3 linked regions of the Bombyx mori genome follow. The protein of the gene in region 2 binds, or shares a complex with, the protein of the main gene of each other region. Links are inferred from orthologs where the notes say so. Each region holds a gene or a part of one and is shown on either strand. Other genes may lie near its edges.

Region 1 (11,246 bases), on a different chromosome or scaffold from region 2:
TTATTCTGATAACTTTCAGCGCCTTTTTTAAAATTTACCCGGTTGCTACAGTAGCGCCACCCTTATTTAGCACACACAGCGTCGGTTCTCCTTACCTCTACCCTCCATGCACCCAGTATAGATGTGACAAACACCTGACAGATGACGCTGGTGCGGCGCAACCTGCTCCGTCTGATCGGCGTGGGCGAGTTCAGCAGCGCGGCGGAGTGGCGCGAGCCGTGCGCCGCGTGCGTGCTGACCGAGCTCACGTGCCGCGTGTGCAACCACTGCCGCGACCTCGACCTGTGCAGGGACGCGCGAGACGACACGGAACGGTAACCTTTTTTTTTTCGGGCCTGGGCCGAACCTCCTACGATGGTATGTGGGACTTGACGATCTGCAAAGTGTTGGGAGCAGACCGCGGGCCCAAGGAATTTTAGGGCCCTACCGCACTAAACGACTCCCCTGCACTCTTACACCCGACGTCCGATCTCCGTCCGGGGTCAGAACCCGGTCAGAGTAGGAGGGTTCCCGCGGTCAACACTACAACCAGATACGCGACGCTACCCCGAGGACGCCCGACCGACGGGTCGTCGAGGCGATAGTCGACGGAACGGTAACCGACCCAACCCCGCACCAACCACGATTCAGTGATAATTCAAATAACCTGTTTTAGTAATAATTCGAAAGAGTTTATGCTCGTATGCCAGTCTGCCTACAAGGGCAATAAAAAAAATTCAGCGAATGATGAATTTAAATCGATTTGAATCGAATCGAATTTTAGCCGAGAACACTAATTTATTGAAGTGAAACTTCTTTAGGTACGTTAAAAGTAAAATTTAACTCTCTACAGATTTACGGCTAGAAAGATACAGATTTTAGGAACAGCGAGATTGAGAAAATAGATAGCGTCTGGTGAACCACTCGACTCGGTGGAGAGAGGGAAACGGCAAAGGCGAAAGTTCCTATTACACTATCACTATTACAAGAGAAAGATTTAAGAATGAAAAATGAAGAAAATCACAATACCACACAACACAAAAGAAGTTTCACTTCTTTCACGTGCACCAAGTTGCACGCGTACCATTTTTATTATTTTTATTAATGAATATTAGATTAAATAGTAAACAATGTTTTTGAGAATAATTAAGTGACCAATCATCTGGCCAAACATGTGTTTTGTAGATTATGAGAGAGCTGAAATTTCAGTATTTCTAAAGCACGTGTAGAACATTGTGTTATGTTTATTTTCAGTCCGGCGTGTTTATGTCCAACTTGTGGAACAGCATATGATAATCAGGAAATAGAATGGCGACTAATCGAGACGATGAACAAACGTACGATGGCGTATACGCTGCAAGATCTTATATGTAGCCGATGTCACCAGGTATTAATAATTAAATATTACACATTCATTGTTCGAGTATGCACACCCGGCACCCACCATTATCGATGTAAGTTTTAAGGCTGCCCAGACGTAACAGCGCCTAATAAGTATGTTAGCACTATAGGAAACACTGCAATGGAGTGTTAATTATTTCAATCCCACTTCGATAAAGCGGCACGACACGAGAACCCTCTCATCGTGGCCGCCGGTAACTACATTCCCGATCCTGCGGACAGAATGGAAAGCCGTCGACGTCGCCTAAAACACGTCATCTCGGATCCTCCCGATCCACTAACGGTGCTTCTAGGTACTTCAAGCACCGGTCACCGTTCTCGTCGAACCCGTCGCTTGCGACGAAGGGCTCGACGAGTAAATTAACTCTCAGACACAGCCCACTGAGTTTCTCGCCGGATCTTCTCAGTGGGTCGCGTTTCCGATCCGGTGGTAGATTCTGCGAAGCACGGCTCTTGCTAGGGTTCGTGTTAGCAACGTCATCAGGTTTGAGCCCCGTGAGCTCACCTACAAAAGTTAGGGTTACGCTGATATAGCCTCTCAAGGCTCTCAGCTTAGGTAGGGAAAAAAAAAAAAAAAAAGAAAAAAAAAATTTCAATTATTCTGTGACTAAGCTAAATCGAAATACCCCATAGCCACATCACAAAATGACTAAATGAGGAAGCCCATCTCAAAAGCTCATTATTTTTAATATTTTACTACAATAATACTATTTTCATAGAATAATTAATTTTTAATGATGGTGTGTAAAAGTCAACTACAGCTTTCTATTAAACCTCCTTTAGTAAGAAATAACATTCTTTAGCACTCCGAGTAAGAAGTTGATGTGGTTCTTTAAAGGAAGAAATAAAGGAATGTATACCTTATGGGATTGTGAGCAGACTGCATATACATATATAAAGACTAGGAAAAAATGTTTGGTTACTTGCGGAATTTGAATCTATGTATATTTCTTCCAGGTAAAACGTGAGAATTTGTCTGTGGTCTGTGATTGTGCTGGAGATTTTTCGCTGATGGTTCCCGTAACAGAGATCAAAGACCAACTAATGACTTTTAAGACAATAGCCGAATATTATCAGATGCCATTATTGTTAGAACAAATTGACTTTAATCTTAAAAACATGTGATAGTTTGTATTTTAAGTATAATTTTTTTTATATATATTATGTCCCTTTGTTTTATTTCTATTGTCACAAACAATTAAGACAAGAACCCAAATATTTTTACCTATTCTAGTTATTCTGGCGACATATGGCAACATACTTTCCAAGGTGAAAAGTACATTTCTCTAATTTTTATTTCCATGTCAAGTATACATGTGAACTTTTCTCTTTAAACTAAAAATATCTCTTTAAATTCTATAAAATATACTATCAAATTGAAAATTATTGTGTACATTGACAATAGTGACTTCATCTCCTCAGCCCATGTTCAATACATACAGTAATAATAATCATAGCAATTTATTTAAAACCTGTTAGATATGTCACAACCCAATTATTGGATTATCAAATTGAATATATAGATTAAATCTGGGTTTTGATGAAGTTTATAAAAGATCAGTGTTAATGTACATATTTTATATTACTATTAGCAGATTACAAAATTAACAAATGAAATTAAAAGCAAATTCAAAGTGTGCTTCTTTCATCATTGGGTGTTTGGCCCAAACCTTTGGCAACTTCACTAATACATAACCACTGGCCATCAGTGCTCTCACGCCAAAGGCTGACTTTGTTATCTCCTCCTGATACAGCCAAGATGTTGCCAGTGAGAGACCAGCTAACACTCCATACTACATCATCAAATGTGTTTAATATTGTTGGTGTCCAAGATACATTATCATCACTAGACCATATGACAACCCTCTTGTCTTGGGAGCAGCTGGCAATCATGGAACGTTGTAATCCCAGAGAGGGTGCCCACGCTACATCTCTGACCCAATCAATGTGCAACTCTAATCTGTTCTCTTCAACCCATTGATCACCTTGCTCTCTCCAAATCTGAAAACAACAACCGGAATAACTAACTAAAAAAATTATAATTAAGAAGCATTATGATGTCATTAAATAGTAATCATTAAATACAGGGTTTATTAAGAACATATCGATAATAAAGGACAAGGTAATTTTAGGTAGATATATTAAAAAAATTCAACTAATTATTGTTGAAATATATCTATTTTCATTTAAAATTAACTAATGCATGCAATATATGATATTGTGAAAAGAAAAATTGCTGCCTTCTTTTTTTGCCTTATAAATAAATAACCCGGAATAAATCACACACATTCATCTGGCCCCAAATCAGGATTCTCTGTGGCGCAACAGTTAGGAGTGCTAACTACTGTAATACAGAGTCAGTAAACAATTAAACACAACTTGTAACATACCTTGATTAAATTATCACACCCTCCAGTAACTAATCTCTTTGGAGCATCTTTATTGGTAAGCGGATCTAAGTTCAAATCTGCAGATAAAGCTGGGCACCAACTAATAGAATTAACACCAATGGCATGTGCACCCGTTATCTTTTTTACGTCCCAATTACCAGTATCTTGTGAATATTGTATGATAGAGATTGAGCCATCTGAACTACAACAAGCGAGGATTAAGCCGTACTCAGCCGGCGCCCACGCAACAGAGTTCACAGAGCTTTCGTGTCCAGTGTATTCGTATAGTTTAGTCCACTCTCCAGACTCTTTCCATATGATAACTTTCCTGTCATAAGAGCATGACGCTAATAGGTTCCCATACTTGGGATGAGCCCAAGCTACCTGCCACACGGGGCCAAAATGACCCTTCAAATCAGCAGCCAATGTTTGTGTACCATTCTTAATGTCGTATATTTTCACTGAATTATCCGAAGAACATGTAGCTAGTTTTAGTCCGTAATAATCCAGTTCGGCGTCGTGTATCATATCTTCATGGCCGGTATCAATAGTATTCAAAACAGTGATCATTATTATATATTTTTATTAACCTACACAATACACAACGGAAAATGGGCAATCAACTGTCAAATCAGTTGACGTGGAATTTCAACAGTGCTACCAGTAAAATATTTTGTATCCATCCACACGAGCTATTTCGACATTGCAAAGACAGTCGCAGTGCGTCACCTCTAAACTTATTAGGTAAGTTTAACAATATAATAATAAAAAGTGGCAGAATTAAATTGCAGCTTCAACATACGCGACGCTACAACTGAATTATTCTTTTTATCAATTTTGTTATGGAAGCTAGAGATTTTCTTGATGATTCGAGATTATTGATCACATAGCTCCAACACAGTCTACAAAAAAGCACAAATATTTTAGTGCCAGAATGCCGCTCGTGTGTTAGAGGTCATAAATTACCTCTTTGGTATTATTTGTTAACCTTAGGTTAGCACAATCTTTGGTTAAGTTATTTATTTCTTTATTACTTTTTGCGCGTTACTTATGAAGTATCTCCCAAAAGTTTTAAGCATTTATATTTATAGCTAAACCTAAACTGTATGAAGATACTTTTATTGACATATCAAGACTAGGCCTCAAAAAAATTAAAAAATCTATGCTTTATGTAAGTAATAACCAAAGATTAAACACTGTGTCAGGTTACATTTGGTAGTTAACCAAAGATAATAAAGAGCTCTAGTAGAATCAAACAAAAATTCTGACAAGTCTGAAGCTGTTTTTTCTCTCATTCATCTAAATTCAGAATTGGATTGAAAATATTGATGAGCTAATTTACGAAAGTTTAAGAAATTATGAGAATTTCGTATCTGTAGACATCAAAATGTCTCAAAAAGAAGGAGGAATATTTTACAACATGCAATATTTATTACAACAAGATTATCGCGGGGTTAACGTATGTAGATAATTACAAGTTGATGTTGATAATAATAACTTTGTAAACGAAGCACTATCATCTGATTGTTGTTTACAGATAGCAGTATATGCTCTAGCCACCGCTGGTCTCGCCATATCTGTTCATAAGATTCGCCCTGTAAGTATTTGTTTAAAAAACCCTATATTAATAATTACATAACTATAAATAATAAAATTACTTCGATAGGTTAGCAAGTTTTCGAAAGCCAGTAAAGTTCCAGATCATTTCATCAGAAATCATGAACCTTTGAAAGGATTATATGCTGGAGTGCAACATTCACCAGTTCGTGTTCTGGTCAATCACAAAGCCCCAATATATTTACCGCTATGGCATTCCAGTAAACCTCCACTACCAGTTAAGGTAAATGTGATAAAAATATAACTTGTACGAAAATTTACCTACAAAGTAATAAAAATATTTTCTTTTTGTTTTGTTTTAGCTGTGGGGAATTGAAGTAGTTAGTGGGAATGCAGTCAATTGGCTGGAATGTGTTGCTAGGGGCCAGCAAGTGACATTAAAGCCAATCGGAAGAGATAATGATGATCTAGTTTCTACTGTATTATTGCATTTACCTCAGCCTAAGGTATATTTCAATTTAAACAAATTCAACAAAATACCTTAAATTATTAAAAATTACTCTTCAAAAATGTTTTCCATTTCAGAGTAAAGATGTTCAAACATTGGATATTGGTAAAAAATTGGTGGAGCTTGGATTTGCAAAAGCATCATTTCCTAAAGAATTAAAAAAGAATACCATTGAGTCACAAATTGCCCCTGCTCTATTATCAGCAGAAGCACAAGCAAAAAGCCTCAGAAACGGCATTTGGTCTGAGAATCTCCCACCAATTCCAGCATATATCGTTTATTGGAGAAAAGGTTCACAGCTTACTTTGGAGTTATTTGTATTGACAGCCAAGAAGTTACTGCAACTGTTAAAATTTACCACCAAAAGTGCTTTAATAGGAACAAAGAATTTAATATTAATTCCATTCAGGTCAAAACCTAAACAAGTACAAACATCATGAAATGAAAAACATTCGTATAAAGTCTAGTTCAGAAAAGAACCAAATGAGTTATTACAATTATAATTATTCGGTTTCTCTTCAAAACTAGTGATGTTCCTTCCATTTATATAGTGAAATAAATTATCTTTGTATACATTTAATGTTGGTAAATAAAAATTACTAATTCGTTACTTAAATTGGAATTTTATTGAAACAAAATAGATTTATGTAAAAAAAGCTCTTTATTCAAATTAAATAGTGTACATTTTATATTACATTAAAATATATATATATAATATATAATCTTAATTTAAAAAGTAGCAAAAGATAAAGTACAGCTAAAATAATCTATTGAAATAATATCCTTTTACCATTAAAATTGATATGAACATAACACCGTGAAATTTTAAGTTTTTAAATACAAAATCAAATTACAAACCGATTACAGATAATTTAATGCACAATACTGTTTATTTATTTTCAAAGACGAAATTAAGTATGTATTCGTAGTCTTGGATATAAAAATACAAAAGCAAGTCTCATCCCCGCAGGAGGTCAACGCACCGTCAAGTAAAGTAGGTAGAAAAATATAGTCAAGGTGGGCAGTTCAAAGTACCACAATGTTAGAATAGGGCTGGGGCGGGGGTCGTAGTGTGCAGACGGGGTCAAAGCACGCTGCAACGCGACAGCCACGTCACCGGCTTGCGAGCGTCGTTCAGCGTCGGCTTGTGGACGCCACTCCTACCGCCCGACGGATTACTCGCTTCCTATTATCAGAACAACAATTTAGCATATTTCCACTAATAACATTAACGAACAATCGTGATCTATATGTTACGGTAATGCCGGCCACTCACATGCGGGCAAATATTCGTACATAGTACGAATGTTTGCGCGCATGTGAAGGGCCGTCAAACATTCATTCGCAAACTTAGCGGCTGTGCAAATGGGTTCGGTACTCAATTTGCGAACCCGTTTGCGCATCCTCTTACACTTGTTCACGAATATCTCACGAATTTATCCTCCTTTTTAATTCGTCAATAGAACATTGAAGAGAAAAAGAGTTTTGAATTTTTTCCCAGACATCATTAACAGCCATGCTGTTTTTATGGGATTTCTTTTGATGAAGATACGCTACACAGTAGACGTCACGAACTATGAAAATGGCGATACTTCCGTTACCTCCGCAATCGTCGACGCAACTGGGCAAACGAATGTGTGTGAGACTACGCGAAGGTTCGCGGTTCGCGCGCTTTGATGTCTGTTAAAAAACCGACACAGCTTGGAAAACCACGAATGCAGCGAAAACTTTGCATAATCATTTGCAAAATTAAATGTCGTCCTACACTTGCGGGTTTGCGTATTCGTGCGCATGTGAGTGACCGGTGTAAAAGTACATATTGCGGCAAATGTACACATTTAACGGTAAATGTGCACAATTGCCTCCTCGTTTGGGTAATGTACATTCAACTAACATTTACAATTTCAAAGAAGGGAAATGTACATTGAATTCACAATGACCATGTCGTTTTGGTAAAATATGTGAGCGTGGCATACAAAATACAAAATCGCCATTGCCAGTAAGTGTACATTTCCCAAGAGTGTACATTTACCGTAACATATATAATATATTAGTTGTGTGTTGTTTAATTTCAGCTTTATTCTCTATAGGCGCGTTTAGGCAGTGGAACTCACGGCTCTGCTGTGTGCTCGTGTGGAACGCTTGCCACCAAAGGCGCTGTTCTAACTGCATACAAATTTGAGTTAACTTTTACGTTATCGAGAACGTTAAAAACTCGCACTATGCACTCTGGACTTGAACACAACTCGTGACTGCTGCTCGCCTATCATGACGTATCAGGTCGAAGTCTCATTTGATTTTAATAGCGGCTATCGTACGAATTGGAATGCACGACTTCTTCAAAAATTGTTCCGACGCGTTCGGTCTCAGAACGTTCTCTGTGGACCACCAGCAAGAAATGTCTCTCCATTCATTCATATTTACGAAATCTTTTAAAAACGCCTACGTGCAATACTCGATGCACAAGTATAAGGTTGGTTTCTATATGAAATAACGTTATCGCGTTACGTGATAATTTTTTATGACGGGTACAGTTTATGTTCAGTTAATTTTTGGTTTCGGTAATCATGATTAATTTTATTTTTGATTATTTTTGAACAACTACTGAATTCGACCGCGATCTAGATTGGTCTTTGAGAACATTTATAAGTACTACTTAATAATACATTATCTAATAAGCTAATCCGGCAAATAAATTACTTCTACTTCTAGTAGGTACTGGTAAATACTACACTATGTATAGTAATCGGCAAACTTCTTGAGCAAATGACCTTGACTGCGCAGAACCGAATTTTAGATCACTTTGGTGGTGAGGGTGAGGCGCGACGGCAGGGGAAATCGTATCGAGCGCGTTATTGGTAGATCAGTCGAACCTTGCGTCCCGCACCGCGCCCTCATTCCGCTTGCTCCCAAAAGTACGCTTGCGTACAGTGGAAAGTCTATCGTTATTAATCGTTAAGTGATTTGTTATAATTGCTTGTGGACTTTGTTGCCATTGCTATTTGTTGAGTGTTTGTTGATTTTTTATAAAACATACACTATGCCGTGACAAACTGGTGTAGTACGTAAAAGAAAGGGTAGAAAATTTGTGTACGACGTATATTGCTTCATTATAAAACAGGGGAAGAATGATATGGAAAAAGTAAAACAGACTTCGGAAGCAACAAAAACATCAGTGAGTACTGTCAGGTGCATTATTAACGAAGCTAAAGGCTCTGGCTTGCTCGCCGTGTTGCGGACTCCGGGTAAGAAAAGATCAGGGAAGAAGAAAGTTACCGGAATGGATAGTTTCGTTCAATCTGTAATAAAAAGATGTAATCATAATAACTACATAACAAGCAGCGAAACTCCGTACCGTAGAAAGGCTTCGAAAAATTTAAAGAAGATATAAATTTTAATGGCTCGGAATGAAGCTTACGACGAATTATGAAAGAGCTAGGCTTCAGATGGAAAAAAAGAACAGAAAATAATCGAAAGCTGGTAAATGAAAAAAGTAACATTCGATTACTACGAATCGAATATCTTCAAAAAATAATTAATTATAGACAAAAAAGAAGACCGAGTCGACCGAGTTGTAAACTACGCCAATGAGCCCTATGTCGACTCATCACGATGATAGCGACTCGGGTGATGAAAACAGTGATGATGATGATGGTCAAGATTATGATAACGAAAAAAATAATACAAATACCAGCTTCGCTTCAACTGAACCAAGACCTGGCAACAGCTCTAGTTTTGACTTAATAAAAGGAATATCTATTTTACCCCAAGATTAAATTATTACAATTATTAACCTATATGTTTTGTTGATGTTCTAATAAATATATAAATAAATACATATGTTGATTTTAATAATTTTAATAGCATTATGACGCAGAGTAAGTAATGTTTTTGCACGTGAGTGTACCATGCGCAAACTTACCCCCACTACGTCAACAAATGCTCAAGAAGTTTGCCGGTTATTATACCGGCTAGGATAATCATTTGAAAAAAAAAAAATACGTACATATTTTATGTATTTTACGGTTTTTTTTTTACTTCAAAATAAGTCTATGGTTTCAATGCAACACATTCCACTAGCAACATTTTTATAGGTTGCGTCGTATAAATACAAAAGGCAAAGCGAGTCACATTCTTGTTACGCTGTCCATTACAATTGATTTTATCAATTCAATCAGATAACTACGATACGTAGCATTGATAGGTATGATTCTATACAGCATTATATCATACTTGTAGTTTGTTTGAAGTCGATTTAGTTATCAGAGACAAAGGTAAGTTCTGTAGGTCGGTAAATTAAAAAATAAAAACATTTTATTTTTCATCTGGAACCTATGAGTAGCCTAAAGTTTTATAAGCGCTATTAAAAATATATATTTTTATACTGCAGCCCCTATCGACGTATACTCAACAATCCAAACGAACTGTTTAAAAAAAAAAACTTGTTATTTTATGGAAAATCTGAAGATGTGAAAGGAGCAAAACTAAATTAATAATTTATTTCCGTGTTCCTGAAACTGAAACTCATAGACATCACGAATAGCGTACCTTGAAATATGGGATCGAATTTTACCGTATTGCATTGATCTAGTAGGTATATCAGTTATATCACTCACTTCAAGTAGCCTAGTCAGAGACATGCGGAAAACCTGAGATACTTTAAAAACGTAAATTTTAAACTTAATTATCACACGTTGCTAGTTTTACACACGAAGCTGTGTTAAAATTTATCAACTCCTTCTTTTACTGGTGGTAGGACCTCTTGTGAGTCCGCGCGGGTAGGTACCACCGCCCTGCCTATTTCTGCCGTGAAGCAGTAATGCTTTTCGGTTTGAAGGGTGGGGCAGCCGTTGTAACTATACTGAGATTTTAGAACTTATATCTCAAGGTGGGTGGCGCATTTACGTTGTAGATGTCCATGGGCTCCAGTAGCCGCTTAACACCAGGTGGGCTGGGAGCTCGTCCACCCAACTAAAGCAATAAAAAAAAAACCCAACTCTAGCTCTCCCTTTGCCTACTGAGTATTTAAACATTAGCTATGGAATCCACAATGAAACAAAGGCTTTTAGGTATGTTATTGCATACTATAAAAACAGCAAGCACTAATCGTTATTCTATCTGAGTACTGAGTCACAAAGTTAAATGTATGGGGATGCTTCATTGATAACGGAAATGGTGAGTAAGACAAGCTGACCGTGTTAAGGCACAAAGAATGATGGTTTTATAATTAATTACAATACACACACCAATAACTGAACTATCGAACAATTTAGTTCATAATTAAATTTAAACTAGTATTCCAATCCAATACTTATTGTGATATATTAGTTTTTAACTAGCTTTTATTAACTTGGTCTGTATGTATGTATGCAATCTTTGAACGTCATTCTCGCAGACTTCAAGAAGTCCGA
Region 2 (10,884 bases):
TAAATAAATAAAATGTTGTGTCTTTGAAAATTTTATTGTTAAATTGTAATACAGATGAAATAATTATTTAATAAATGTATATATAAATCTATATATTTGGAAATACATCTGCATTTTTATTTACAGTTGTTGTTGTTTCTTTTTCACTTTTAAAAGAAAACAATTCAAAAAAACAACAAAGTATGAATCTCTTGTCACGAGTCCTGGTAATATTCAGTTAGGAAGATTTTAATTTTAAACCAGGGCACACTATTTGTAAAGATTATATGAACGACTTTTTGGCGGGAACGCGAGGAGTAAAGTTGTGTGATTTGTTTTATTTTGTCTATTTAGTGTTTCTTCAGGTTTAAATGTGTAATAACGGTGATTTATTAACTGTTTAATATCTGTGAAAGTACACAATTGTGGGAAAATGAAACAAAGCCGCTGGACGTAACTTCTCGGGATCCTCCAAAAAGTTTACTGAAAAAATCTTAGTAAATGACCACCACTTTTTCTGAGATTATATTTCATCCCAAATCATCTCGTCTCATTTCATTTCCCTCCATATTATCATTTTTCATAAAAATAAGAATATAATTAAAATAAGGCTTGACTTAAAGGTCTTAGTTACCAGGTCATTTTTCCCTTAAAAAAATTACATTAACAATTTGGCTTAAAGGTCTAGTAGCAGGCCATAAAATTACAAAAAAAATACATGAGCAGTCCGTCGGAAGAGGGAACGTACTCTGTATTTAATATACACATAAAACTGTTAGCTGCTGTTGACGAGTTTTACAGATTTTATAAAATGACAGTAATGAAAAGGTGGGATGTCTTTACATGGTGAGCAATAAAAAATGTAACACATTCAATGAATAAATATTTCGATGTGTCCATGATTATGGTCGAATTTCTTAATCGCTTTTTAAGGTGTTGCCATTATCAGTGTTAAAAAAAGACTGTGACTTGTGCTTGTCCTGCCGTCTACTTACTGCGTACCATAGTAATGGTGGAGGAGGAGGAGGAAGACTTGGATGGAATGGGTGATAGAGGAGGATGCAAGAGAATGGTGTGAGTGCCGAGATGACATATAGTAGTAGGTCTGAATTGATAAGGCCAAGATGAAGGCATGGTGCTCATTCCAATGTTCGAATTGTCGATAATCCCATTCTCACCGATTGTTTCGAACCTTTGGGTCTGCGGAGGGACTTCGCTTCTCTCTGTATTTTGTACCGTATGTTCCATGGGTAGTGCTCTGCGGTATTATTTGAGATGATTCTATCATCTCGTTTTTACCATCGCACTGCCCGCCACCGGAGTAGAGTTCATCCATACTACTTGGAGCCACTGCGTTCATCCACAGTGCATTTCTAGAGATCCTTTTTTTGCCATGCACCATCCGGTTTTGAAATGAGCTCCCCTCCACAGTGTTTCCTGAGCGCTATGACATGTCCTTCAAACGAGGCTTGTGGAGAGTACTTAACGGTGGGCAGCGGCTTGGCTCTGCTCCTGGCATGGCTGACGTCCATGGACGACGGTAACCACTCACCATCAGGTGGGCCGTATCCTTGTCTGCCTATACGGCATTAAAAAAAAACGTATCAATACCACCGAGTCTTTTAATAAATCATTTATATTTTTTCTACGACCCAAGTACATTTTCGGATTAGAATAAGTCTTAAAAGTATCAAGTCATGACTATATTCATGCTTTGAGTTCAAATTGAAAAGTGTTGTAGGTTATCAATAAGATTACAACAAAACTGACCTTTCAGAAGTAGTAGTTCCATTTTTCCCACATGGCAAACCTATCACGCCATAATCTAATCCTAATCTTCTGTATATTCGTACTGTTATATCCCTAACCTGTATAGACTAATGCTTACCAAACACCTTACTCATCATAAGCCCTCTCACAGTGATTTCATGAGAACATACCAGGCTCAGTTCGGGTCAGATATTCATTGAAGTGAGACGTTTACCAATTTTCCTCATTATTTCTAAATTCTTTTATTATAATTAATTATTCATTAAAAATATTGTGTAGTGTCGAATAAATCCTTTTTTAAAAAGAGTTCGGCCTTCTCACTACTAACAGTACGAACATTACGAAAAATAATAATGTATGTAATGGTTGGATGTAATGAGAAGTTTTCTATGTAATCTGAGACTGTAATGAATTTGGATGAAATTAAATGAAGCGATATGGGATGAAATAAAGTCTCAGTAAAATTGTGGTTATTTCCTGAAACTTCACTGAACTTTTTGGAACAAACCGAGAAGCCATATCCAGCGACTGCGTTTCGTTTTCTCACATTTATACACTTTCACAGATGCTAAACAGTTAATAACCGTCCTTTATTAGACGTTTAAGCCGGAAGAAAATTTAATTACAAAAATTAAACCTTGTAAAAGTTCGTTTGTCGCGTTTCCGCCAAAAGTCGAGTCCTAATATATTAAGTGTATAATCTATGGTCGAGTCGTACACAGAGTAGTTAAAAATATAGACCAAAGTATATGTTTGAATAAAGCCTATACCTAAAGAGGTCATTTGCACATTGAGCGAACATGAGTCATTACAAAATCCCGATGTACAGACAGATCACACTTTTTGTTCAATAATGACTAGTGAAGAGCCCTCCTACTGAATCTAAGCTCTTACCTTAAAGTACTAAGTTCTAGTATAAAAATATATATTTCTGTAAAACGTTCTTATGTTTAATTAGTTTTCCCGAATTTACTTCGATACAATGAACGTGGATCCCACAGGCCTTGTAGCTTTTAATTACTAATAATGATTATAATAATCTAGAGTGTGCACTAACCGTCAGATGAGCCGTATGCAAGCCCAACGGTGATTACTTAAAAAAAACATAAACAAAACGGATCCTTAATCCGGTCGAGTACTCTTCGTATATTTTATAAAGGTATTTTATCTGGGTTCCCAGATCACAAGCTACTTCTCACACGCTGGCGTGCGTCCCTCGCTAACGGCTCTGTGTCGAGCCTCAGTGGGCACTCATCGTGTCTCAGATATACAATTCATTGATTTTCTTAACCTATAGAAATTTATAATATAATAATAAAAAGTATAATGAACAAATTGTGTCTTTACATAATTCATTATGAAATTTCGATTGATTTCATATTTTACTATTAACGACATTCGGAGACAAAATTGGAGATTAAACCACAATAGTTTAAATATTCAAGGTTATTTTTTCTTTTGATTTGTTTGATCTTAATTACTAAACAACCCACAGATGAAATAAACAAAAAATATCACCAAAGAAAAACGTGTGTTCAGTAGATAGTCGGTCCCCCGGGGCGCGCTACAGGCGGTGGGGGGGGTCCAGGGTGCTGCAGCGGCAGTTGCAGGAGCTGACCGGGCACTCCGCGTGCTCCCTGCAGCACACGGGACTCATTGGCACGCGCTCCGCATGTTGGGAGCTGTGTCACTCTCATTATATTTTATTTATATTCATTCTATAACTTCGCTCTAACGTCCTGAGCCCGATGGCAGCAGCAGGGCAAAAACAATATCATCTTATTGTCAGTTTCGGTGTCATAAAAACTTTTTTTTTTTTTTAATCTGAATTTTTTTATTTTTTTTTATAGCTTAGGGGTCTGGACGAGCTCACGGCCCACCTGGTGATAAGTGGTTTCCGGAGCCCATAGACATCTACAACGTAAATGCTGTCACCCATTTTGAGATGAGTTCTAGTTTCAATATAGTTACAACGGCTGCCCCACCCTTCAAGCCGGAACGCTACTGCTTCACGGCAGAAATAGGCGGGGCGGTGGTACCTACCCGCGCGGACTCACAAGAGGTCCTACTACCAGTAATTACGTAAATTATAATTTTGCGGGTTTAATTTTTATTACATGATGTTATTCCTTCACTATGGAAGTCAATCGTGAATATTTGTTCAGTATGTATTTTATTAGAAAAACTGGTACCCACCTGCGGGATTCGAACACCATCGCATCGCTACATACGAATGCACCAGATGTCTTATCTTTTAGGCCACGACGACTTAAATATATAAGTTTATAATACTTGTTCGGAAACGGAGAACATTAGACAGAGAGCGCACGGGAGCGGGCGGCACGTACTTGAACCAGTCCATGAGGTGCGCGGCGTGGCCCCCGTGCCTGCAGGCCACGCACCAGCTGAACCAGCGGGGGAAGGCCGCGCCCCCAGCGCCGCCGCCCGCCGCGCCCCCCGCACCGCCCCCCGCGCCCGTGCCCAGATGCAGCGAGCACACGGCGCAGCGCGGCAGCGGCTTGCGGCAGTTCGGGCACGACGAGATTTGCTGAAACATCGCGCCCCCTGCTCGGAACCTTCTCGGAAACGTCTTAAGGCTTCGTCAAACAGAACGCGTAATTAGCGCGCATCAGAGCGCTACGCTATGACGCCGAGATGTGCTGTACTACTACTATGGTAACATACCGTCAAACAGAGCCCCAGCGCTAGCAGTACGCAAAGCTCTGTCGCGGCGTTAGGACGCTTTGACGTCAGGCATTGTAATTTTTTACAAATTTTATTTTAGCGTCCGAGTGAATGTATATTAAAATACTGGATAATGCCCGAAAAATTGATAGAATTAGTTAGGAAATATCCATGTTTATACAATGCCACATCTGAATCACTCGACATCTTGAAACTTTTTAATTTTCACACTGCTATCGAAAGGCACTATAATTTGGCGTTATGTTGCGTCAAGGAGCGTTGGGCTCGTCTAGTCAATTTGTGTGACATGAAAAGAGCGCGACGTTAAAACGCCGCGTTAAGAACGTGTTCTGTTTGACGAAGCCTTAAACGATAGTTGTTAACGAACGAGGCGCTGCCGCCCCCCCCCCCCTCCACGTGCCGCGGGACGCGCGCCATTTCATTCCGCCGCCGACCGGCCGTGCGATCACGCGCGCCCACTTCATACAATTTTGTTGGCGCGTCCATCACCAAGAAGCCTCCGTGATTTAAGAAAAAAACACGCGCGGCCATAACAAACAATTTGCTGCCGCGTGTAATTTCAAGAAGCCTCGTTAACAATAGTTATAAGTTCGATCTGGGTTTTTTGATTTGGGATTGACAATAATTGATTTAAAATGTTTATAACTAATTAATATAAGAAGTTAACGTTTTTTTTTCTCATTGCTCACGAGTGTTTCTGAACCCATAGACATCAATAACAAAGATGCCGCCACCCAGCTTGAGATATGAGTTGTGAAGTTCAGTTCTATAGTAGAACTGCTACCCCACTCTTCGAATCGGAACGTATTACTACTTCGCGGCAGGGGGGGGGGGGGGCGGAGGTACCGGTAACGTAGCATTTCATCACTATATGAAGTATGTAGGTCGCGGGGGAATGTTGTATTTACCTTCATCTTGGCGGCGGGCGGCGGAAGGCGCGCGAGCGGCGGGCGAGGCCGGGCCCCCGCGGCCGCCGCCACGGACTTGCCGCAGTAGGTGCAGGCCACGCACACGTGGCGCACGGCGGCCGCGGCGCTGCCCCCGCACACCCACGTGTCCAGCGCGCAGCGAGCCCACCACAGCCGCCAGCCGTCCAGCAGCCCGCGGTAGCTGCCCGTTACACACAACACTTCGCATTACTCTCTTCACAAGACTGCACTGCTGCTGCCGGAGTGCCGTCCTGTCTCAACGAGTCTATAGTCCTCGACAGCCCGCGCACGACACCGAGCACGCGGTGCGGCAGCCTGTCCTACCCGTCTGCTCCAATAATCGCTTGTGACTGAGAAAATTATAAACTCTTTTTTGTGAGCCCATCTGATGTTAAGTGGTCACCGGCGCCCGTATATGCAGTCTTCTGGAGACGTCGACGCAAGGTCGACAGCATAAATGATTCCACACATTCACATATTTTGCGGGTACCACTTTAATGTCCCTGTTGCTAACGGTGGGGTCAAACTGTAAAACTGTTCAATAAATGAAAACCAAATTTTCCATTAACTATAGTGTGCGCGGAAGGGCTAGTCACCGCCTGCTGTATGCGAGCGGCAGGGCGGGCGAGGTAGACAAACGTCAAGCTAACTCAGTCTGCCGTCGACCACCGCGGCGGTTGTACGATACAGTTGTTCTTGCCAGTTTGTTCCAAACATACACGAGATAAAATATCCTAAGATGGGTCCACCAATAACACGATCAGTGTAAAATGTAATTTACAATGTGCACAATTTTTTTTCTCAGACCGTAATTAGAATTGTAGCTGAAGTAAATTCGAATCGGCAAACATCGGAAAAATCAAAATTTACTTCTCCATGAAAACCTAAAAAAATAAAAAAGAGAATCTACATTGATGATTTCGACATGGGGGTATTACGATGGAAAATTCATAAATTTTTGTTGGTAAAAAAATCAAAATAGATAAATAAATAATTATTTTTTTATAATGTACTATAATGGTGATAGTTTTTTTTTTTTCTTTTTAAGAAATGTTCATTTGCTTATAAAATTGTTTTGTTTCGTAATAAAATATAATAAACACTTTTGAATATGCATTTTTTGTTTAACCAGGAAATAGAAAAATACAATATTAGAATTAGGCACCCATTACATTAATTCTAATATGTTATTCTGAGATTTATCTGCACTTAATATAATATCGTGTGCGTCTTGTCAATCGCGCTCTCCCCCGTCTCACCCCGCTACATACCTCAGGAGATGACCAGCGTTTCCGCGCGCACTACAAGTGCACTGTTATACAAGAATGTAATAAAATAATTTGACACTACCATGAACGCACGGCGCGTCTACGTATTGAATTAGGTATATACAAATCACAATTTAATGCCTCTTTTGCTAGCGGTGGGGTCAAGCCGTAGAAATGTTCAATCAATTAGTAAAAATCTATGATACTATGATAGTTGATGTGGGTCGGTGTGGGGCAGGGCGCGGTACCTGTCGAGCCAGTGCTGCACGTGCGGCAGGGCCAGCAGCTCCGGCGTGAAGCAGCGCGCGGCCAGCAGGGCGGCACTCTGCACGTCGCCGCTCGCGTCCAGCCAGTGCTGCAGCAGCGCCGCGCCCTCCGCGCCGGCCCCTGGACCACAACACCGCGCAGTGTAACACACGTGTACCGAGCACATCGCCGGGGTGGGCAGCCCGTCCCTCACCGGTGAGCAGCACGCCGGACAGGTCCCCGCGCTGCACGAGCGCGTCGGCCGTGTGTCGCACGTACTCGTGCAGCTTGCCGTCCGACAGGAACATGCAGGCGAAGGCCACGCGGTCCTCCAGCCGCATCTCCGTCTCGTTCTGCGGGCGGCGCCGCGGGGCAGATGGTACTCGATTGTTTTTAATCCGTATTATGTTACGAAAATGTTAAGAAATGGTTATTTTAATTGTGTTGTCATAACTCTTATATTGTTGCCAGATTTGTTTATTACATTAATGAATCACTAATGATAAGTGATTACCAAAGCCCAGAGTTCGCAACGAGGATGCGAGCCCCCTTGAGACTTGAACTCGGAGTCTATATGATATGGTACAACGGCTGCCCCGTCCTCCAAACCTGAACATGTGACCGGCGGGATAGTGGCACCTAATGTACGCTCCCCACAAGCGTTAGTTGTTACTTTAAATTGAATTCTCTCACTGCGATAGACGTGATACTTCAAGTGACGTTTAAGGGACGCATCAAGGGCAAGCGGGTTGGGGGAGCGGGTCGCGTTACGTCACAATATACTGACGAGCACGGCGGACAGGTCGGGCGGCGCGGAGGGCGCGTGCAGGGCGGGCGGCGCGGGGGCGGAGGCCGCCAGGAAGTGCAGCAGCCCACGCAGGTAGGCGTCGGGCAGGGCGGAGGCGCCGGCCGCCAGCGCCTCACGCCACAGCCGCTCCTCGCTCAGCCCCGCCAGCGCCAGCCCCACCACGCGGAGCTGTTCCAAACAACCGTAGTCACATATCACGAGGAAATACTTTATTTATTTATTTATTTAATACAAGGAGAACCAACAGCCAACTAACAAAGTATAATAATATAACAAATAATAGAAACAAAAAGCCAATTAAAGGTTCTCACCAATATAAACAAATTAAAAACACTAGAGAAACAAAAGCATAGAAACAAAAAAAAATTAAAAACATTCAGCAAGCAAGAAACAACATAAGGAATGGAGGAAAACACCAGACTAATTTAAATGTACACTTATGTATAAATGTCACAAATTAATTAAAAACTGTTGTGCTACACGTCACCGGCACATGGCCCCGCACCCTCTGCCCCCTCATCGCCCACGAAAAATCGGGCACTAAGCTGACGTCTAAGTCCTGTGATAGAGGAATAAAATGGGTCAATATCTAAGAACCTGCCAAGTCTGTTGAGGTCACCACCAACACGTAAAAAGAATGAGTTTTGCCTATAGTTAGTGGAAGCTAGTGGCAAAGAAATTAGATTTCGATGCCTTAAAGATATTCTCTGTGCATTGAAGCCAACTTTGGATAAGAGCTCCGGGCAATCCACCAAACCTTTAACGATCTTTAAATAATATATAATGTCGGAAACCCCACGCCGCAAGTAAAGAGGAAGTAGATGATGTTTTTTACAAAGGTTATCATAATTATTAGAGTTATAGGCAATATTTAATTTAAAACAAAGGTACTTTATAAATTTACGCTGAATTCTTTCAATTCGTTCTATATAGATATTATATTGAGGATTCCAAACTTGTGAAGCGTATTCTAAGTGACTGCGAACAAAAGTACAGTATAGTATTTTAATAGTTTTAGCTTTACGAAAATGTTGAGAGTTACGCATAACAAATCCAAGCATTTTGGAGGCTTTAGTCACTATAGAGTTAACGTGTTCATCGAATGTGAGTTTGCTGTCATGAACAATACCTAAGTCACGTGTACTATTAAGTTTAATTAGTTCATGTTCATTTAGTTTATACTTGTAGGCTATTTGGTTGATTTTTCGAGTGTAAGTAACAACATGACATTTAGTTGGATTAAGATCAAGTTTGTTTAGTAAACAATAATGACAAAGACGATCTAAATCAGATTGCATTAACTTGGCATCATTGATGGAAGCAACCTTCATAAAAATTTTCATGTCATCAGCGAAGCAGAGAAGGCGTGAGAATTGAAAGCACTTAGTGATGTCGTTAATGAAAATAATAAAAAGCAAGGGCCCCAGTAACGAACCCTGAGGTACGCCACTGGGAATAGGTACCCAAGCAGAAATATAATTGTTGATCACGACTGCTTGCGATCTCTTCTCAAGATATGATATAAACCATCGTAATAAGTCGCCACAGATTCCTACGTTCTGTAGCTTTGAAATCAGAATAGAATGGTTAATTTTGTCAAACGCCTTGCTATAATCTGTATAAATTACATCAACCTGTTTACCACTATGCATGGCATCAGTAAGATAATCATTTAAGATAACTAAATTAGAAACAGTCGATTTATTTTTTAGAAATCCATGCTGAGTTGAATTAAATACATTTTGCAATGCCGCGTATACTTGAGTATAAATAACACGTTCAAATATTTTTGAAATAATACAAAGTTTGGAAATTGGTCTGTAATTGGTAACCTCGAACTTAGAGCCTTTCTTATGTACTGGGCTAATAAAGGCCGATTTCCATATTGCTGGAACAGTGCACTCATGTAAAGAACGCTTAAAAAGAAGGTATATTGGCAAAACTATGCCATCAGAGCAACCAACGATAAATCTGGCAGGCAACTGGTCTGGACCAGCTGATTTAGATAGATCAAGATTAAGAATTAACTTATGTATTTCGGCTTGGTCCAAGTAGATGTTGTTTAAGTGAGAAGTTGCGGTGAAATGCTCATCGGCTATTCTAGGTGTCAGATTAACAGAGATATCACAGTCAAGAAAAGTAGATTGGAAATAGTTAGAAAATGCACTGCAGACTCCCTCAGCCGAACTTGAGATCACATTGTTATACGAGACAGATCCTGGCATTGAATTACACTTAGACTTTGATTTAACGTAGGACCAGAACTTTTTAGGATCATTTCCTATTGAAATTTCAAGAGAGTCAATATAATCATTGTAACAATTAGTTTCCAGTACTCTAACCCTGTCCCGAAGCACATTAAAAGAGTTTAGATCAGATTTATTTCCATAGTTTGAATATTTACGTTTATATTTATATTTTTCTTTGATAGCTTTTTTAAGAGCAGCTGAATACCAGACTGGGTAATGATCAGAGCCAGTTACGCGAGATGGTACATATCTCTCTTTGAGGTCGTTAACTGTCTCATAAAAATAATCAGTACAGCCCTCCAAAGATCTTGACTGAAACTCAACACACCAGTCAATATTATTAAGCTCTCTATTAATTGACAAATAATCACCTTTATTGAATCGATAGTTAGTGCGCGGTGCAGTTCTTAGAGTTACAAGTTCAATACATTTGAACGTAATACAAAGAGCCTCATGATACGGATCAATCGGGACCATTGGATCAACACACTTACTCACAACCAATGATTCATTTGAAAATACTAGATCCAGAATCCTATCATCCTTATTAGTTATCCCATTGTACTGAGCAAAGTCGTGAACATGCATTTCATCCACAAGCAATAATTCATCACTACTACGAGCATTATAAGGTGTAAAGTAACCAAGATTAGACGGCAGCCACGTAATGCCGCTCAGATTAAAATCACCAACAAGTAGGAATTTATCAAGTGAATTATCCAAAACAATGTTGGTGAGTTTCGTAAGATAATTAGTTAATTGTTCAGAGAAAGATAACTTAGAACCCTGTTTGCATAAGTATAATACACATATATGCAGTTTAATAGTTTCACGTTTCAACTTAACGATGAGTGTAACCCACAAATCTTCAACCGATGAGTTAAATGACGGCTGCAAACTAACTTTTAAATCTTTACGAGTCGCAATCA
Region 3 (10,884 bases), on a different chromosome or scaffold from region 2:
GTCAATCAAGCCTAAGCTTGTTTGGTATATTTTGATTTCTCTATGTGCCTTAAACATAGAACCAACGTCGCTTGTGAAGGTACTGACATAGCTTCCATCCGGAGGCGAGGCCGGTCAGGTAGCCGGGTGCTGCCAACGCGCTCTCTGAATGGAGAGCTCGATACCCCTGCCTGGCGCACCACACATAAAACGGTTTTAACATCATCGTGTGCTCATCACTTACACATCATGAATAGCGGCCATGAAATCGAACACGTTCGGATCGAAGATCGCAAATAAGAAATACAACAAACAAAACATATTCTCACGTGTCCAAACGGGTATTGATTTCGTAGCCATACAAACTACGGATAAAAACAAAACAAAAATCAAATAAATAGAAAGAAGCTAGCAAACAAATGATGTCACTGTTCTGTGCATTCCGTGCATAATTTGCGAATTTTATAAGCAGTGCATATATATACGCAAATGTTGGATGAGATCGCACTTTTAAGTCCGATAACTTGTTCTAATCTTAGGGTTTCAATTTTCACAGGCTTAGATACTTTAGTTTAAGAGAGGAAAATGCAATAACCTTGAATATCATGGTATATTAAGATAGCAGTAAAAGCCTCAAGGCCAACTATTTTCTTATTTTTGCTCAAAACTAAAATCACTGTTCAGAGCAGATTTGATGCCAATTATTCAAAATCATTAGCATAATTTGTTTTGACTATTTTATGTAAAAAGTTATACTACATTATTATTATTTGTGCACAAACTCATTTATATTTCACCTGACACTGCTTTACGAATGTAGGTGATTATATTAAAACAGCACTACTTTTTAAATATAAAGCCACTTCCACCTGGTCATAAGCCCGGAAGTAAGATTACACTAAAATATAACTACGTTTATTAGTAAGTAATGTCAATATCGTTTAGTCATTATAGTTAAATTTTGAGGATTAGGTAAAGTCCACTCCAATTATTCTCATTATGTTATCTTTATTTATTGACCTTGAAAGAAACAGTTTAATATCGTTTTCGCCAATAAAAACAGTGCGCAAAAATATGCCACAAAAAATAATAAAACAGAATTTAGAAAATGATCAAATAAATTTTGCAATGAAACGATAAGACGTGGTTTTGTTGAGTATTTTAAACAGCATTGGAATTTCATTGTAAAATTGCGTAGCGATAACTTTTTAGAAAGTGAAAGGAAGACCGGGTGCCTTATAATATGTAGTTGTTATTTCTCACTCACACAGAGCAATCGAGATGACGTAACCGCAATGTACCTACAACCCTTGATTTATTCGATAAACATACTCGAAAGAATTTGGATGGTGCCTGCCTATCTATAGAACTTTCTTTTAGTTCTAACAAAGTTTTTGAGAAAAATACACTATCTTTCATTCGTTTTGATTGAGGTAATACGTTCCACCTACTCTGAATTTGTACCACAGAGTGGGATAAGCCGAAAAAAGTCATAGTTTCTTTTTGTTTTGTTCCTGATATAGCCTATCATTTTTATTTTAAAATACACGAGTAATGTATTGTTCAGCATGTTAAGATGGCAATCTCGGTCAATCTCTAGTCAAGTCTTCACATATCTGAAATAAATCATTTATCATGTGTTGTTTGTGTGTAGTTCAGTTTGTGAATTGTGATTTTTTTGTAAGATTATGAAAATTACTCTGTTGATGTATCTTATTTAAGAGCCCCAGCTTTCTTTCTATCTGATGATCACTAGCTTCGACGAGCTATTCTGATTTCTCCGTTTGGGTAGGCGAGCTGATAGACTTCGCTAACGTCAACCCTAGCAAGAGCAGTGCTTCGCTGAATCTACAACCAATCGACTCGAATTGGGACCCACTGAGAAGATCTAGCGGGAAACTCGATGGATTGCGTCTGTGACGTTCCAGCAGTTTGACTGTTGCGTTGTGGTAAATGAGAGTGGACTGTATTTATTGCTTTTGAGATATTTATTAGATTATATTATTATTTATTAGTAGAGATATTTATTAAAGTTTGAATATAACAGAAATATGAAATCGATCACCCTTGGCGGCTGGAATTGAAAGGGAAAAAGTGTCATAGCGGATTACGCTCGTTGACACTTTCGACGTTCCGAAATCAAACAGTGACAAGTACAGATAAATAAAATGCCTAAACTGAATGAATATTAATAAATAAGTAAATAAATTTAAATATTTTGTTTGTAAATATTTCGTTTTTGTGTACGGGACTGTTCCGAATACTCGAGTGTGAGACTACATCTATAACACGTGTTTCTGTGTTTTAATATGGCGTATCTTGTTGTTGCCGTTGGGTGCAAGCGAATCGCGTGTGCGTGCGTGTACAAACGAGGACTTCATATTGACGTGTGAGTGCGTGCGTGCGTGCGCGTGTGTGAGTGCGTGCGCGCGCGTGTGTGTGTGTGTGTGTGTGTGTGTGTGTGTGTGTGCGTGAGTGAGTGAGTGAGTGTGTGTGAGTGGGAGTGAGTGATTGAGTGTGTGTGTGAGTGAATGAGTGAGTGTGTGTGTGTGTGTGCGAGAGAGATAGCGAGTGTCGGAGCGTGTGGCGGGGCGGTACCTGTGCGCTCCGCGTGAGGATGGAGGTGGAGTGTCGGCGCCGCGTGAGTGCCGCGTCGCTAGCGCCGCAGCCCGCGCCCGCCATCTGCAGCACGCGCGTCTCACACTGTCCCGTCTCACTCGGTCTCACACGCCCGACCGCACCGAGCCGCACCAACGAACGTGTGGGCCGTGCTCGTACTCACCACGTTAACCGTACTTTAATTAGCGTCAAAGAATAAGCTTCTCTTTAAATAAACGTATGCAGGACGAAAACAAATGATAGGGTCTGTGCGAAACATATCGATGAAGCTTATTCTTCGTGTGTTAATCATGCGTTCGGATCTCAAACAGGAAATTAAAAATAACATAATATACAGCAACTGATTCGTAAACTAAAATAAAAAAATATCCATGCTGATGTCATAATCTGTATCCTCGCAAAAGTTGAAATGCAAATTATGATTAAAACAATCATTCAATAACAACTAACCTTTTTATTGTTTGCGAACAATCATGCATGCGGCGGACGGTAAATTTAGAGGCATCGACTGTGAAATTTGAAATTTCTTGTTTGAGTGACCAGTAAGCGATAATGCGTGCAGAATCGAATATCGTCATATACAAATATCGTTTCTCCAGTTCAATACTGTACATTTTGTACATGGTTATTTTAATGACAAACAAAAAATGCACACATCATAGCTTTTTATCATAGATTATTTTTGTTGGACTAGTCTAGAAGTATAAACAGTCAAGCATATTTGCAAAACTACAATGAATTAGACATTTTAGAAGACTGTGCAAAATACCATGCGGTGCATAATTACTACGTGTCATTATATTAAGTGCATATTAATTTCATGCTATTCTTTTATATTCATATAAAAATGTATGTACATACATTGTGACCTATACAACACAATGCATAAAATGCTATACAAAAATTCGAACACTATATATTTAGTGTTTTTATTTTTATTAACCACATTGAATTTAAATACGTCAGAATTGATCATGGATTGAAAAATAATACACAGTCTAGGCTAAATAATTGTATTTCTTAGCCGTTAAGACTGGCATGAAGATTTTGAGTTACACTACTGTTGTGGTGAAAACTAGTGATCTCATAATGCTTCAATAATCTATATTTACTTTAGCAAAACCATAGACATCAGTCGTCAATATGTCCTATATTACTTTTTTTAAGTCTAGCTGTCCTATAAAAAGTAGAATTTGACTTTCACCAACATTTCCAATGTCATTATATACTTACCCTCTGTTTGTTTGGCCTTTTGACTTTATTGAAATACAATTCGGTCATTTTGAGGAAATTATCGGTTAGTTGGTCCAAATCATGACGCGTCGGAGTTGGATATATGTCGCAGTGGGTCGAATCGTCTTCGAGAATTTGTTTCGTTGCCGGATTGTAGAGAGGCAATAGTAGAGTCCGGAACCGCCAGTACTTCAGAGGCTTGAAAAAAAATGTTCGAAACTTTATATTATTATTCACAGAACTCTTTACTTTTTATATAAATAAAAACTTGTACCCCACTATGCAATTATATGCAAATTACACTACTTTACAAGGTTTTTTACCCAGAGATGAAACTGATATGTACGTTAGAGTTATAAACCCTTACTTAAAAACTGAAGCTGAAAAAAAATTAGGACGTCCAATTTTGTAAATATTGATTATATTTATTTATTATCATTTTTATACAGTTATCTTAGAAACAAATAAAAAATGGGTCGTGTTACTTCTTCTTTTATACTGATTCATATCAGTTTCCCTTATTTATAGACCAACAGTAATTCGCTAACATATTTTTAATCCCAAAATCCTTTGTATCTTCCCTCGAAAAACTTCAAATCCTGGTGAAAACGTTCGCCATGCTCACCATTCACGCTTCCCAGATTCTCCGGAAAAAAGTCCAGATGAGAATGTTAAAAATTAATTTTTAACGACATATTTACTCTCATTCTTTGGTAATTTTTCAGTAAATTGGAAATAATTTCTGCTTAATTGTTTCCTATTCAGATTTATTGTTTCGAAATTTTCACTAATGCTCTAAATGAATACCAATCATCTTTTTCGACATTGGATAAGTTACCATCAAAATTTTCATCCTTTAATATTTTACTGTCCGCGCGCGAGCTTCGAGGATTTTTAAGGAATGTTGACGTAATGAGCTAGTGTTGTGATTAGTCGATATTGCGCTATCGATACTAACACATCTTAAGCCTCCGTGCGAGTGTAAATTATAAAATAGTTTTATGAGGGTATTATGTACTTGAAATAAAAATAAAACAATTGATCACGTATGAATTTCATTTAATGAACTGATTTTTATTGAACAAAATGAACGTGAAATCTTATTAATTACTCTCGCAATCAGATTAATCAGTAGTTGAAGAATTTGATGTACTCTCCTCTTGATGTCACTCTCCTCACATACTACAATAATAAATGATTCGACAACATCCTCCATTAAGCCATCCTTTTGCCAGTAATATTCCTCTAATCCTTTTTCATCAAATTAAATAGCGATTTGCGTAAACAAAAAGACTTATAAGTGTAAGACTATTTATATTAGAAATCACACGTAATTAACACTGCTATCGCCCGCCCGCTTCCTCAGCCCCCGAATCCTCCGAGCTCGCGCGCGGAGTATACTTATTTGGGGACCCACAAAGATTTCTTCTTTGAGTTTTGCATCAGATAAACTAGGTAAAATGGTTTTTAAATACTTTAAAGCTTGTCCATCTTTGTCAAGTGCTTTGACAAAGTTTTTCATTAATCCCAGTTTGATGTAATAGCTGTAAGTTGGGTAATGATGGATTAGGAACTTTTTCAGAATGTAGCACAGGTTTTGTGACTGATGCAACATCAGGATATTGTATGTGCTTTCGGTTTTTATTGTTAAAACCTGTAGTTTCAGTGAGGCAGAAGTAACAGTCAGTAGTATGATTTGTTGGTTCTCTCCATCTCTATCTCTCTATCATTGGGATGCCGAATCGTAAATGTTTTCTTTTTCCTGCAGCCCAGTTCAATAATATACTTCTGCAATTTTCGCACACTACACCAGGAACCCATTTTTTATCAAGGTTTGTTACCGATTTGAAAGTAATGGAACTAGGCTCCTTTTACGTGATTCAGTGATTGGTCTCTTCTTTTTTGGCAAAATAATTTGACCACAAACATAGCAAAAGTTATTTGGGTTTAATTTACACTACCTTGATGATATTTTAAAACAAAAATAAATGTTTGAATAACACTTAAACGCAATAAAAACAAACTAAAAACTCAGACACGGCTAACAAGGCAGCTTACTTAGGTGAATTCTGGTGAATGTGGTTATATCAAAAACTTGACGTGATAAAATTATGAGACATATATTTTTGTAGTAAGGGGGCAAGTAGAAAACACGCCCAATATGAATTATCTTTGGGTAAAAGAAAAACTTTTTTTTTGTAAAGTAGTGTTATTATGCAGCTACTAGGGTACATACATACAAATCAAACAGCGAATATTGCTATCCACCTTGACACATGAGGTCGATGTCTCAAAGGGAAAAATTCGAAAGACCCATGATGAATACGAGCTCGCATAACGCCCTGCCAGCACATTAGTGTTCGTATTCGAATTTGACGCGTTGTTATAAAAATAATATATACTAGGTAAATAAAGAAATGTTTAATTTCATTTAATATACAGGGTGTTTGTTAAACTTCATAACTTAAAACACTTAGGGAAAAGTGTTTTAATAGCACTTGAAAAATATACTAGTGGGCCCCCGGTAGTCGAAATTCGACTATTATAAATAATTAAATAATTAATTAATTATAAGTTTGTACACTATTATGATTCTATTGTCACAGTCTATACTTCTATCATCACAGATTTCGCCAAGACTACACTTCAAGCAAATATTAATAAAGACAAAGGATATTTAATCTATTCTCAATTTGACCACATAATAGCAATAAATAGCAATAAGTTTGACAATAAACAACTGGTATAGTCCCCGGCACGTAACTTGACAAGAGTCGCTAGATGCGCAGAAGTCGTTTTTTAGGTCTCTTTGGTTGTCAAGCGGGACGCGGGGAAAGACGTAGCACCGTTCCGAACGCGCGATTGGTGAGTCAGTCGACCCTCCCCTCCCGCACCGCGTCCACGTTCCGTTCGCTCCCGGTTACACATGTGCCTACAAAGTTGTAGGAACCCTTTATCTATGTTAAGTTTTTGTTACGAATTGTTATTATTGTTTTAAGTTTGTTTGCAATGCCAGGACCAAATACCAATGACCATATAGTCGATTCAGTCACTGGGCGTTTTATTATTTACGCCAGTGACGACAGAAACTCTTCGTTATGTCGACGATGAGGAGCCAACTCCTTCCACCAGCTCAGGTGCTACCATAAATTTAATCCAAGGGGTAGCACTATTAGTAAATGATAGTGACGACGGCGACACATAATTTTTAATAATAAGTATATTTTTTAAATTATACTTCTTAACTTTTAATTGTATTTTATTTATAACACCTAATACACTTCACGAATTCCTCTCTTTTCTTTAACTTTCTTCTCAACACACAGGCTTAAAAATAAATTATGGCAAATTTTAAATTTAATAAAATAAAACTAAATTATATGCGGGCATTTTTTTGTTGCAATGTGCACTATGCGCAACATTACCCCCACTACACCAAAACCTTGCCAACTTACGTGCCGCTTACTATATGCGTACGTGTGTGTGTCAAATACATGGTAGGGTGTGTAATGTTTTTTTTTATTGTTGATTTAATGTATTTTTTATGCATAATTTAAACAAATATTGACATTCTGCACTCCTCTATATGTGTAGGAAATTTGTTACTTCTCCGTCCGCGCAATTTTGGTGAAAAGGGATACAAAGTTTTTGCTACGCGTATTAATATATAGATAATACAGTCTCAATTATGAATAGTGTTATACAAGACTTACCTCAACTAGTGCGAAATCACTGTCGCCGCGCGTACAAATGTAATGGTCCATGTAGTTCCAGTAGTAAGTTTCCAGTTTTTCTGTCGTGAACGAAACCCACGACACCTCGTACGTGTCGTGGTTCGGTGCGTGGAAACGATAACGGTAGTGTATATTGAATGGCGGATATGGATGTCTGAAATAAAAAATTAAAAAATGTTCTTCAAATACTGATTGATTCGGCAGTGCATTTTTTATTTATTGCCTTTGTAGGCAGACGAGCATACGGCCCACCTGATGGTGAGTGGTTACCGTCGCCCATGGACTTCAGCAATGCCAGGGGCAGAGCCAAGCCGCTGCCTAACAATTGCATGCATTAGTTAGTCCCACCTGGAGTGAAACATTGTGTGGCGAATAAGTTTGTTTGCTCTTTTTTCGGGTGTTTATTATCTATATATGTTTTTATTATTATTATCACCCCGTATGGCCAGAACCAGCGTGGGTCGCAAAGACATCTGTCGCCTTTTTGCTCTTTCTTAAAACGTTTATACAGCAGCTTAAATGTCGTCTTCTTTGGTCTCCCTCGCCTGACCCCGAACTGAGATATGGTTACCCTTAGATTAAGGGAATGTCTCAATTCCATCGTCCGACTCCATGACGACGACTTATTACGGAGAGAGTGTTTTCATTTATGGTAATATAATAATTACACATGTTTATTTAAACGTTCGTTTGTCAGTCTCTGGTACCCAAAACACAGTGAATCCTAAATTGGGGCCGGATGACCGTGGGTGGTTTGTTCCCAGTTATTATTATTATTATTATTATTGTTAATACTTTTTTGCTTTAATCTCCACACATTGTCCTAGCAATCGAAACAAAACTGCAACCGATTATAAAAAAAGGGTGCAGTTCCCACGCAGTAGGTTCTTGAGAGAACTTGCAAAAGTATTCTCATTTCATTCGCTCCAAGTCTACATCGTATAGCTCATATGTGTTTTTCGTTTCAACTTTGAATTACGACGGTGCTAAAAAAGTTTTCATCGAAAATGGATACTTGATAACTAAAAATCTTCTACCTGGGTCTGTATCTAGTGACGGTGATGGTGGACCCGACCAGCGTAAGTTTGTGGAAGATCCTCCCAATCGAGAGCAGGTAACGCTTGGTGGGTGCTGCGTTGGCTGGTTTCCCGCACTGTGGGGCCACTTTGGATGGTGGGGGAGTCGCCGTTGACGCACAGTGAGATTCGATTACTTCATTCTCGTTAACACCCACAATCAGCTGGAAACCCTAAAATTTTTTTGGTTTTTTTATAAAATTATTCAACTTTTACACAAGTTTATGTATATTGAACAGGTTTAAAAAGCGATTTCCGTATGATATCCTGGAATAATTCGCTAAGACGACGAGAGCAGAGTCCTCAAATTCATATTGAAGATTCTAAATTTACCTCTAGTAGATCCGCGGTGCAAGTCTTGAAAAAATTAGAGCGAAATAAAACCAAAAGGCGGTAGTTTTTAAAGATATTTTTGGGCATTGGAATCCAAGCCAAATAAGTAGCCAAATTATTTGAAATTACTCTGAGAAATACCACAATTGACAAAAAGCTATTTAATTTAAATTATATATTTAAATAAGAAAAGACAGAGCAATTAAGTACCATTCTATCTTATGCGTCAACCATTTTTTTTTCTTTTCTTTTTATAATAGCTCTTGGCTTGATTTAGTAGGTATACATCTCAATAACAAAACAAAAAATAAGTTATAATGCATAAAATAAATCTGTAGACTAGCTTGAAGTGTCTTGTGATAATGGTCGCGTTTTAATAACCGGACGAACACTAGTAATACATAATTAAGTAATACTAACCTGAGCTAATCTTTGTGAGACCAACTCCTTGAATACTTCCATTGTGGTCAGGGGATCTTTGTATATAGCTCGGTTCTGTGCGAAATCGGCGTTCACGTCGTCCGGTAACAGATTATAATCCGATACTAGATAATCGTTTTGAAGTGATCTCTTGTCGGGAAAGTAGTCCGTAGTGATCGGAAGGCAGGCAGGTATGGTCAGTGACTTCCAGTCGACCCCTAAACAACGAATTCGTTAGTTCTAAAGACCTTCTTCTTTTCTCAAACCTACACCTGGGAAGCTTCCATATAAATTGCAAATTTTGTCTATCAATCACAAATTAATGAAGGTCAATTGATTCAAGTTTCTCACTAGTTAATTGTTTTATATTTCTCAGAGTTCGAGAAATCTTCGAATTATGATCTAGAATTTGTTTCGGTAATTTATTAACTTTATTATAACATTTGGGAAATGTTCAAGGCATCATAAGCAGATAAAACTTGTTAAAATCAATTTTAAATAAACCAAAGAGATATATATTGAATAAACTACCCAATTTCATCTAACAACAAATTTAAAGAGAAAAAAAGGTCATGTCTTAATAATAAAAAAATGAGTGGGAAACATTTAAAAATAATGAACACAGTTATAGATGGCAATAATAAAATGAAATGGTAAGCTAGAATTTCATGCATCTCAGATGAAAAATAAGACTAGACTCTACTAAACTATAAGCAAACTAAACTAAAAAAAAAACTATGAATGCTACAATAAAATGTGCGATGACTTCATGATAATGTATGAAATGAAGTTTTAGGTGATTTATACACAGCTTGTAGTATGTCGAAGTTAAAAAAATCGCTTGACTCAATCGCAAATTACAATTTAGTAATTCTCTGTTGCTTTGAGACCACAGAGCAACTCTCACGAGACGCAGCGTTCTGCGACAACCCTATCCGATGATTTGCAAGGGAAGTTTAGCGAAGAAAATTGTCCCTTCGTAATAAGGTGCAACTCTACAAAACTTGCTGACGCCTCGTCATGACCTATGCAAGCGTAGTGTTCGCCCACGCGGCCCCCACTAATTTGAAACCCCTTCAAGTCGTTCAACCGTTTTTTTTTCAGTATATCCGTCGGAGCAGCGTGGTTCATAAGGAACGTGGATATCTAAGACAATCTGGAGTTTGACTCCATCAGCAAATATTTTCAGTCGGTATCAGTGCACTACTTTGAGAAGACGGCACGACACGAAAGCCCCCTTGTCGTAGCCGCCGGTAACTAGATCCTGCGGACCGAATGGTAAGCAGTCGAAGTCGTTCTAAACACATCATTTCGGTCAGGCTGTAAAAAATACTGTGACAAACAAACCCGACATTGCAATTTTCATCTGAGTCATTCGTATTAGAACTAAGTTATTAGCTTTTTCATGCGTTGAAAGCAGTACGCACAAATACATCTCTTTATTTACAACAGCTATGTATGTTTGAATTGTGAAGGTGACATCGGAATTC

Evidence for each region.
Region 1: GATOR2 complex protein MIOS (region 2) and protein SEC13 homolog share a complex: the UniProt entries of both Drosophila melanogaster proteins name them as parts of the GATOR complex. The link is inferred for Bombyx mori from reciprocal best matches to the Drosophila melanogaster genes mio and Sec13.
Region 3: GATOR2 complex protein MIOS (region 2) and GATOR complex protein Iml1 share a complex: the UniProt entries of both Drosophila melanogaster proteins name them as parts of the GATOR complex. The link is inferred for Bombyx mori from reciprocal best matches to the Drosophila melanogaster genes mio and Iml1.

What each region holds. Positions count from the first base shown.
Region 1 is NC_085131.1:3,991,309-4,002,554, forward strand, and holds protein SEC13 homolog, read right to left. Parts: upstream 5,158-11,246; 5' UTR 4,341-5,157; coding exon 3,771-4,340; intron 3,382-3,770; coding exon 3,010-3,381; 3' UTR 2,944-3,009; downstream 1-2,943. Other genes in the region: DNA polymerase epsilon catalytic subunit 1, read left to right, coding at 142-314, 1,234-1,366, 2,338-2,505; uncharacterized protein LOC101741756, read left to right, coding at 5,158-5,229, 5,308-5,367, 5,437-5,610, 5,690-5,833, 5,913-6,275; small GTP binding protein RAB8, read right to left, coding at 6,920-7,021. UniProt on the Drosophila melanogaster protein: Functions as a component of the nuclear pore complex (NPC) and the COPII coat. At the endoplasmic reticulum, SEC13 is involved in the biogenesis of COPII-coated vesicles.
Region 2 is NC_085114.1:15,833,119-15,844,002, forward strand, and holds the end of GATOR2 complex protein MIOS, read right to left. Parts: intron 7,875-10,884; coding exon 7,686-7,874; intron 7,252-7,685; coding exon 7,113-7,251; intron 7,040-7,112; coding exon 6,901-7,039; intron 5,566-6,900; coding exon 5,364-5,565; intron 4,298-5,363; coding exon 4,098-4,297; intron 3,387-4,097; coding exon 3,314-3,386; 3' UTR 16-3,313; downstream 1-15. UniProt on the Drosophila melanogaster protein: An essential component of the GATOR subcomplex GATOR2 which functions as an activator of the amino acid-sensing branch of the mTORC1 signaling pathway.
Region 3 is NC_085116.1:10,865,776-10,876,659, forward strand, and holds part of GATOR complex protein Iml1, read right to left. Parts: intron 9,613-10,884; coding exon 9,395-9,612; intron 8,815-9,394; coding exon 8,603-8,814; intron 7,720-8,602; coding exon 7,545-7,719; intron 4,030-7,544; coding exon 3,832-4,029; intron 2,662-3,831; coding exon 2,578-2,661; intron 171-2,577; coding exon 88-170; intron 1-87. UniProt on the Drosophila melanogaster protein: An essential component of the GATOR subcomplex GATOR1 which functions as an inhibitor of the amino acid-sensing branch of the TORC1 signaling pathway.